Linked DNA regions of Coturnix japonica. The protein of the gene in region 1 purifies or fractionates together with the protein of each later gene. This does not show direct contact. Links are inferred from orthologs where the notes say so. Each region holds a gene or a part of one and is shown in the gene's direction. Other genes may lie near its edges.

The links.
Region 2: the proteins of TRIM33 (region 1) and SKIL purify together in Homo sapiens (affinity purification with western blotting; 4 studies listed by BioGRID and IntAct, with this or other methods). This does not show direct contact. The link is inferred for Coturnix japonica from reciprocal best matches to the Homo sapiens genes TRIM33 and SKIL.

Annotation. Positions count from the first base shown.
Region 1 is NC_029541.1:3,871,155-3,874,805, reverse strand, and holds part of TRIM33 (E3 ubiquitin-protein ligase TRIM33), read left to right. Parts: intron 1-205; coding exon 206-324; intron 325-431; coding exon 432-579; intron 580-2,032; coding exon 2,033-2,165; intron 2,166-3,206; coding exon 3,207-3,323; intron 3,324-3,651. UniProt on the Homo sapiens protein: Acts as an E3 ubiquitin-protein ligase. Promotes SMAD4 ubiquitination, nuclear exclusion and degradation via the ubiquitin proteasome pathway. According to PubMed:16751102, does not promote a decrease in the level of endogenous SMAD4.
Region 2 is NC_029524.1:17,517,072-17,520,722, reverse strand, and holds part of SKIL (ski-like protein), read left to right. Parts: 5' UTR 1-374; coding exon 375-1,481; intron 1,482-3,651. UniProt on the Homo sapiens protein: May have regulatory role in cell division or differentiation in response to extracellular signals.

The DNA of each region.
Region 1 (3,651 bases):
TGCTTTTCCTCCTCAGTTCACTCCAGTCATACCCTTTCTGACTGACTTCTGTGTCTGTTTTACCTTGGGGTGCTTTTTTACTCCCCATGTTGCAGACCTGGGGAAACTAAAAGAACGCTGTGGGCTGCGTTGGCGATGGCTGAAATGAGCACGAGGATTTTGTGTTTGTTTTTCCTATAACTAAGAAACGTTTTGTGTTTTTCAGTTGGGGTAATCAGATGTCCGATATGCCGCCAAGAATGCAGGCAGATAGATCTGGTGGATAACTACTTTGTAAAAGACACATCAGAAACACCAAGCAGCTCTGATGAGAAATCAGAACAGGTACGGTGCTTTTCTGCTTGCTGGGATTCCCATGCTGGTTTCTTTTCCCTGTGTATGTTAATGCTTTCCAGGAAAGTGATGGCAGCTGACCTTTCTTCCCTTTGCAGGTGTGCACAAGCTGTGAAGATAATGCTAGTGCTGTTGGGTTTTGTGTCGAGTGTGGGGAGTGGTTGTGCAAGACCTGCATAGAAGCTCATCAGCGAGTGAAATTTACTAAAGATCACATGATTAGAAAAAAAGAGGATGTATCGTCAGGTGAGTGTTTGGATATCGTTTAGTCCTGCCTGTGTATACAGATAAGCTTACAGTCATGCTCAGTATAGTCTTACAGCTGCGTTGATGTTGCTGAGTCAATTGGAATTTGAATTCATTCTTAGGTTTTATTTCCTGGTTAGCAAAAATGAATGTGCATTGTGAATGTGCAATTTAAACATGCAGCTTCATTAGGAAAGGTTAATTACTCAGCTACTGATTGACAGTGTTGTTTGCAGTCTACTGAAGTAATGGGGCAAGCATTCCCAGAGCAGGTAGATATAACTCTCCCTGTATAAAGGGGTTAGGTTCAGATTTGCTGTTTTTTTCCATCTAAAATAAGTTAAAATCTTCATGATTGCTCTGTTGCGCTATTGCAGAGTAGTGACGCTGCATTGCTTTCTGCCATTGGTTTTGGCAAAATCTTATTAGTGGTTAAAAACTATTACTGCTAAGCTTAGTTCCTGTGGACAATGATCTTGTTTTGCTTGCTATATCAAGTAGACTTTTAAGATTATTTGACTTTAAATGCATTAACCCTAGTAAGCACTTACCAATTAATGTTAAGTCAGATGAGAGGACTCTGCAGAGGATTGGTAATGTTTTTCATTAGGACTGCTGTGGCCATCAGGGTGATAATATAACCCCATGTACACTGAGTGGGGGGTGCCCCGAAATGACTGTTCCAGTAATGTACTTTATGAAGGTGGAGTCTGATGGCAAGTCCATATGGCAGGGACATAGCTGTGTCAGCTTTCAATTCATGAGCTCTTTTTCTTTACCATAACTTGCATGTCGTAACAACCTTCAGAAATTTTGGGGACTACGATGCGTTTACTTGTTTTAAGCTTTACCTGCTGTACCTTCCAGAAGCTGCTTTCCTCTGTGCCAAGCTCAAAAAAGCTTTACAACACCTTTTTAGTAAATCCAGAAGTGTTTTCAACAGTATCTTTGTGTTTAAGTGGAAAAGTTCTCTAGCTTAGCTGGGACTTAAGTAATTTTATGACCCATAAGAATGTTAGCTCTGCATTTACCACTTCAGTTGGGCATGACTTAATGAGTTTATAAAGATTTTGGAGTGATAATTTAGAAGATCTGTAAGTTTCTGACAGTGTAAAAGCTTGAGAAGTTCAGTCTATCTTGATTTCATCTATTAACATGAGTGTGAAATGCAAGTGTGTACCAGCAGTCCTTGCAGTGTCTTTTGAGTGGTTTTGGTGGAGAGAGAAATTCCTCCTTCATTTTGAATACAAGAAAAGTGGGGGCAGCTACAGAACGCTGGCACTGTAACTATTGTCATAAGAATGTATTTGTGGTTATTTCAGGGTAAGAGCAGTTCTTTTGCTGTCTTTGAATTCTTGGTTCTTACTTGCTTAGCGTGGAAGGGAGTAGTTTTGCACTTCAGATTGTCTTAAATTTATGTTAAAATGCAAAAATGGTTTATTTTTAAAAACAGAGGCCGTGGGAGCATCTGGTCAACGTCCTGTTTTCTGTCCTGTCCACAAACAAGAGCAGTTAAAACTTTTCTGTGAAACATGTGACAGGCTGACATGCAGAGACTGTCAGTTACTGGAGCACAAAGAACACAGGTACAAATATTACCATGTCTTACCTCCTGTGGTGCGCTGTCTCAGAGGAAGAAATACGACTGATTTCAAACAGTTGTGTCTGTTTGACCTGCTGCCCTAACTCTCCATCAGACATAATTCCTCACAAAGGAGAGCATGTATGTGGTGCTGGAAACTTCAGGTGATCCATCAGCTGAGCTGTGTGATGAGTCTCTTTAAGAGATGTTCAGACTTCTTCCTTTTCAGCATCTTGGTCATATCGTTGCTCATAGGTTTGAAAAAGCACTTTGCAGTATTATAATAGAGAATCTGGGGATAAAAATACATGTTTACCAGCAAGTTAGTCTACCAGTAATACTTCTCTATGAAGGTGCTTGGAAGTATGAATTTAGTTTTTCTGTTAGTTTCTTTTTCCAGTGCAGTAATTAATGTCATAGATTGTAAGAGCAGCCTGGAGAACTTTCATTTTTTATATTACCACTACTAGAATATGAACCTTGTGTTCCTGCTGCATTCTGTCATAGGCTTGATCATAAATGTTCTGAAATGCACTCTTCTCAAGAAAGCCTGTTTTCCAAGGATATCTTAACTAATCTCTTCTAGTTCCTTTTCATTCCTGTTTGTGCTTGATGCTAACAGATTAACAATTCATAAACGGTTGGCTGTTGTTTAATGACAATTAACAATATAACAAACCACTACTGCATTTTCCTCATCTAGTGTTAACACAATCATTTGTCAGACTCTGAATGGTGTCACTTAGCTGGGTTCCGTAGACTGTTGTCTTGTGAAATGATGTGGTGCATTGTCTCCCTGTGTAGCTGGAACTGAGGGACTCATACACATACAGTCCTCTGGACATCTACAGAGGGTTTTAATAGTAAATTTAACTGTGCATGCGTGTGTATGTGTATGTATATGTATGTAAGATCCCATTTGTTTCTGTATTTTTATTGTATCTATCATATTATCAAAATTTTGATGGTCACTGTAGCTTTACATCTGAACTGGGGATCCTTATCGGTCCTTGTTAATTGGGATCTTCTTCTGTATGTTGAAAAGGTATCAGTTTCTAGAAGAAGCTTTCCAGAACCAGAAGGGTGCAATTGAGAACCTGTTGGCCAAACTTCTTGAAAAGAAGAACTATGTCAATTTTGCAGCTACACAAGTTCAGAACAGGTAAATACCCCAAAATAGTTAACTCTAATCATTGCCTGCTTAATGAGTGAAGGGATTAGAAGAGTATGTGGGAAAGAAAGAAACTGAAAGCTCAAGAGATGTTACACAATTCTGTGATAAGGATTCAAGGCCAGTAACAGTGCATGGGAATAATGCGTTGTCATGTTTTGTGCCTGTGGCAAAGTTTCTGGTTTCACTGAAAATGCAGTGAATTTCTACAGAATGTGATTGGGTTCTGTAAAGGCTCCAATTAACTGCTGAGCCAGATGGGTCATGCAGGTGAGGTTGACTTTTACATGTCGTTGAGTCACATTGTCAAAGTGTGGGG
Region 2 (3,651 bases), on another chromosome or scaffold:
TACTGAAATACAGACTTACTTCTGCGGCGCCTGCTTCTGAAAGAAAGAAGCGGCCACGAATGGACGCTCTGCAGCACCTCGTTGGTTCCTGGAGCTCCGCTGTGTGACTGTGGGCAGTGTATGAAGAACATAAACGAATCACGGCATTTTCTTATAAAAGACAGTTGAGCAAATGGATGTAGAACTGCAGACTTAGTGTTTTTAGTCTGTGTTCAAAATGGGCTGCAGGTTTTGCTGTTGGAGGCTGAAGAATTAAAGGAGTGCAGAGCGGGGTGTGACTGTGGGACTCGAGTTGACTTCAAGTCGTTTTTTGTCTAAGCAGGAGGAGAATGGACGCTCGAGACTGTCATTAATTACAGTTCTGGTGTTCAGCGATGGAAAGCCCGCAGACTAATTTCCCTCTAGGGCTCGTTTCAGAGCAAAAGAGGAGTGGGATCCAAGAGGATGGGAGCCCCCCGCTGAAGAAACTAATGACAGAAATGCACGTCAACAGCCCAGTGCGAGTTGTAATAAATAAACTGCCAACAATAAAGAAGGAAAACTTGGACGAATATGACGAAACTTCTGTGGAGGCTGACGGGGAGAGTGCCAAGCCAAATAGTTCTTCAATCTCCGAGCCTTTGAATTTAAATCCAGGTCTGAAACACACGTTGGCACAATTCCACTTGAGCAGCCAGAGCTCACTGGGTGGACCGGCAGCTTTCTCAGCTCGCTATTCCCAGGAGAGCATGTCACCCACCGTCTTCTTGCCTCTCCCATCACCTCAAATCCTGTCTGCTCCGCTGCTCATCCCTCCCGACAGCTCCACAGAGCTCACTCAGACTGTGCTGGAGGGGGAATCCATCTCTTGCTTTAAAGTCGGAGGAGAAAAAAGACTTTGCCTGCCTCAGGTGTTGAATTCAGTTCTTCGAGACTTTTCTTTGCAACAGATCAATACCGTGTGTGATGAACTGTACATATACTGCTCCAGGTGCACTTCCGACCAGCTTCATATTCTGAAGGTTCTGGGGATTCTTCCATTTAATGCTCCCTCCTGCGGGCTCATTACACTGACTGACGCTCAGAGACTATGCAATGCTTTACTACGTCCTCGCACTTTTCCTCAGAACAGCAGCTTTCTCCCTGCTAAGAACACATTGGCCCAACTGAAGGAGACTGGCAGTGCCTTCGAAGTAGAGCACGAGTGCCTGGGCAAGTGCCAGGGTTTGTTTGCACCTCAGTTCTACCTTGCGCCGGATGACCCCTGTATCCAATGTCTGGAGTGCTATGGGATGTTCTCACCCCAGACCTTCGTGATGCATTCACATCGATCCCCTGACAAGAGGACCTGCCACTGGGGGTTTGAGTCAGCCAAGTGGCACTGCTACCTTCATATTAACCAGAAGTACCTGGGGACGTCGGAGGAGCGGGAGCTGAAGCATCTGTTGGAGGAAATGAAGGAGAAATTTAGTGAGAAAAACCAGAAAAGAACTCGATCAAAAGTAAGTTCACCTGCTCTTGTAGAACTCCTAAATCTCTTTGCCTGCTCCTAAAATGGTCCTTTTGGAAGCACAGTGCTTGCCTCTTGTAAATGGGAACGCTTGTCAAGCCAAGCCTAAATGAATTTCATGAGGGAGCTTCACCATGGAAATGCATTTCTGATGAAAAGGCATAGAGATTTCTTTCCTCTTTGGGCTCTAGATGGTTTGGTTTTGTTGGTTGTTGTTCCGTTTTAAAGTAAGCAGTCTCTGGGAAGTTCAGAATTAATTTGGAAATCTTTTAATGTGTTTTATGCGGTATGTGCTGCAGCAGCTGAACAAAGCCGAAAGGAGCTTGAAAATCGAGTGTTACCAATTGGTTTGTTATTTGTTGCATTCACACCAGCACACACACACACACACACACACACACACACACACACACACACACATATGGTGTATGGCTGCCTGGCCTGCCAACCACCCATCTCATGGCGTTTCATGTAGGTAAGGACACATCGATAAGCTCCTGTTAGAAGCTTGAAGCCTCCTTGTCCAGCAGTAGCTTTCTGTTTAAACAGATTCTATGGAGAAATATGCCAAAAGAGAGGAGCTCTGAAGCAGTCCAAGTAAAGAGCTGTAGGACGGTATCTTGACAGTGGTTAATAATAGACATAGTATTTTTTCCTAAAATACTGCTGCAAGTCTGCAGTGCAGTTCAAAAACACAGAGCTTATTTTTCCTTCAGAGGGCTTCTAATTTAAATAATAAACACCAGATAAATGTTGGGTGTTGCTGGGGAAATATTCGTGTTATGTGCAAGGAATAGGCTTTTTAGAAGTGCTGGTAGGGAACAGAGAGAGCAGCCAGCTCATTAGATGAGGGAACACGTGGGTGATGACAGCATGGATGTTTGCACTCGAAGAATATGCAATTTTATTGAGTATAATCTAAACTTAAAACTTCTCAGCTCACCTGTTGGATGTTTTGTCTTGGATTTCAAAGCAGGTGAGCTCAAAAAGGTACGTGGTGAGATGATACCTTCCAGCACAGCTCTGGACATTTAGTGTTACAGAAAGGATTACTGCAGTAACAGCTGCTGCTACAGTTGTGCCAGTGTGCTGTAAGGGATTTGATCAGGAAATTCCCACAATAGCCTGCTGTATGGCATTCCTGCACATGCTGAATCAGCTGGAGGTGCAGGTAAGCTCACAGCAAGGAGGCTTCACTATCATGACAGCCTTTGTCCTTGCAGAGCCAGTACAGGTAATGAACTGTGGCATCGGTGGAAATGTGTTGTAGGTGTGACTACAGCAGGCTGCTTCCTGTTTCTTGTTAGCAGACTTGTGACCACGGTTTCAGTTTCCTATAGACAGATGAAAAAACAGCTGAAGTTCACAGCAGCAGTTTGGACTGGACTGCAGTTCATACAAATGAAATACAAAGACCCTTTCTGGATTCTTCCATTACAGACCTGTGTAGCTGTTTTTATTATTGTTATTAAGCAGCGTACGAAATGAGAATGAAGGGTTTTGGAGCTTAGCTTCCTTGTGTCCTCTCTCCTTTCTGTTCCTTTTGGAGCTGATTTGAGGATCTGCATGGGTGGGGTTACGCTGCAGTTGCATTGCTAGACTTTGAATTTAGCAGGCTTGACGTTTTGACCAGATTCATGTAGATGGGATTGACACCTTGTTGTGGTCAAGTGACTTCTGATACAGGCCGTGCTGCTGTGACTGCAGACTCTGGGCTGCCAGAGGTGAGGTTCTGTCACAGTCTGTTTCTGGGTGTGTGAATATGGACTTTTTGTGGCTGCTGGCTGGTGGCAGCTGATCACACTGGGGGAAAACCCACTCACATTCACATTATGAGGGGTTTCAGTGGGTGTAGACATCACCCCAGTCCCAAGACTATTTTAGTACGATGAAATTAGGAATCAGTTTTTCAGCTGCGAGTCTTGTAAATAGGACCAGACACCTTTCACTAAGTATCAGTGGTAACTTTAGTCAAAGTTTAATTTTGGTCCTTGAGACAAACAGAAGGAGGGCTGCTATCCAAATCCTACACGCACAGAAATGCTTTAAGATGATGCGTTCTGATGTACCTAAGGTACTTCTGTTCCATACTGCAGAGGGTTGTTAGCTTACTGCAGTGACCTTGCCCAGCTGTGTTCCTGTAACACCAGTAATTATTGCTT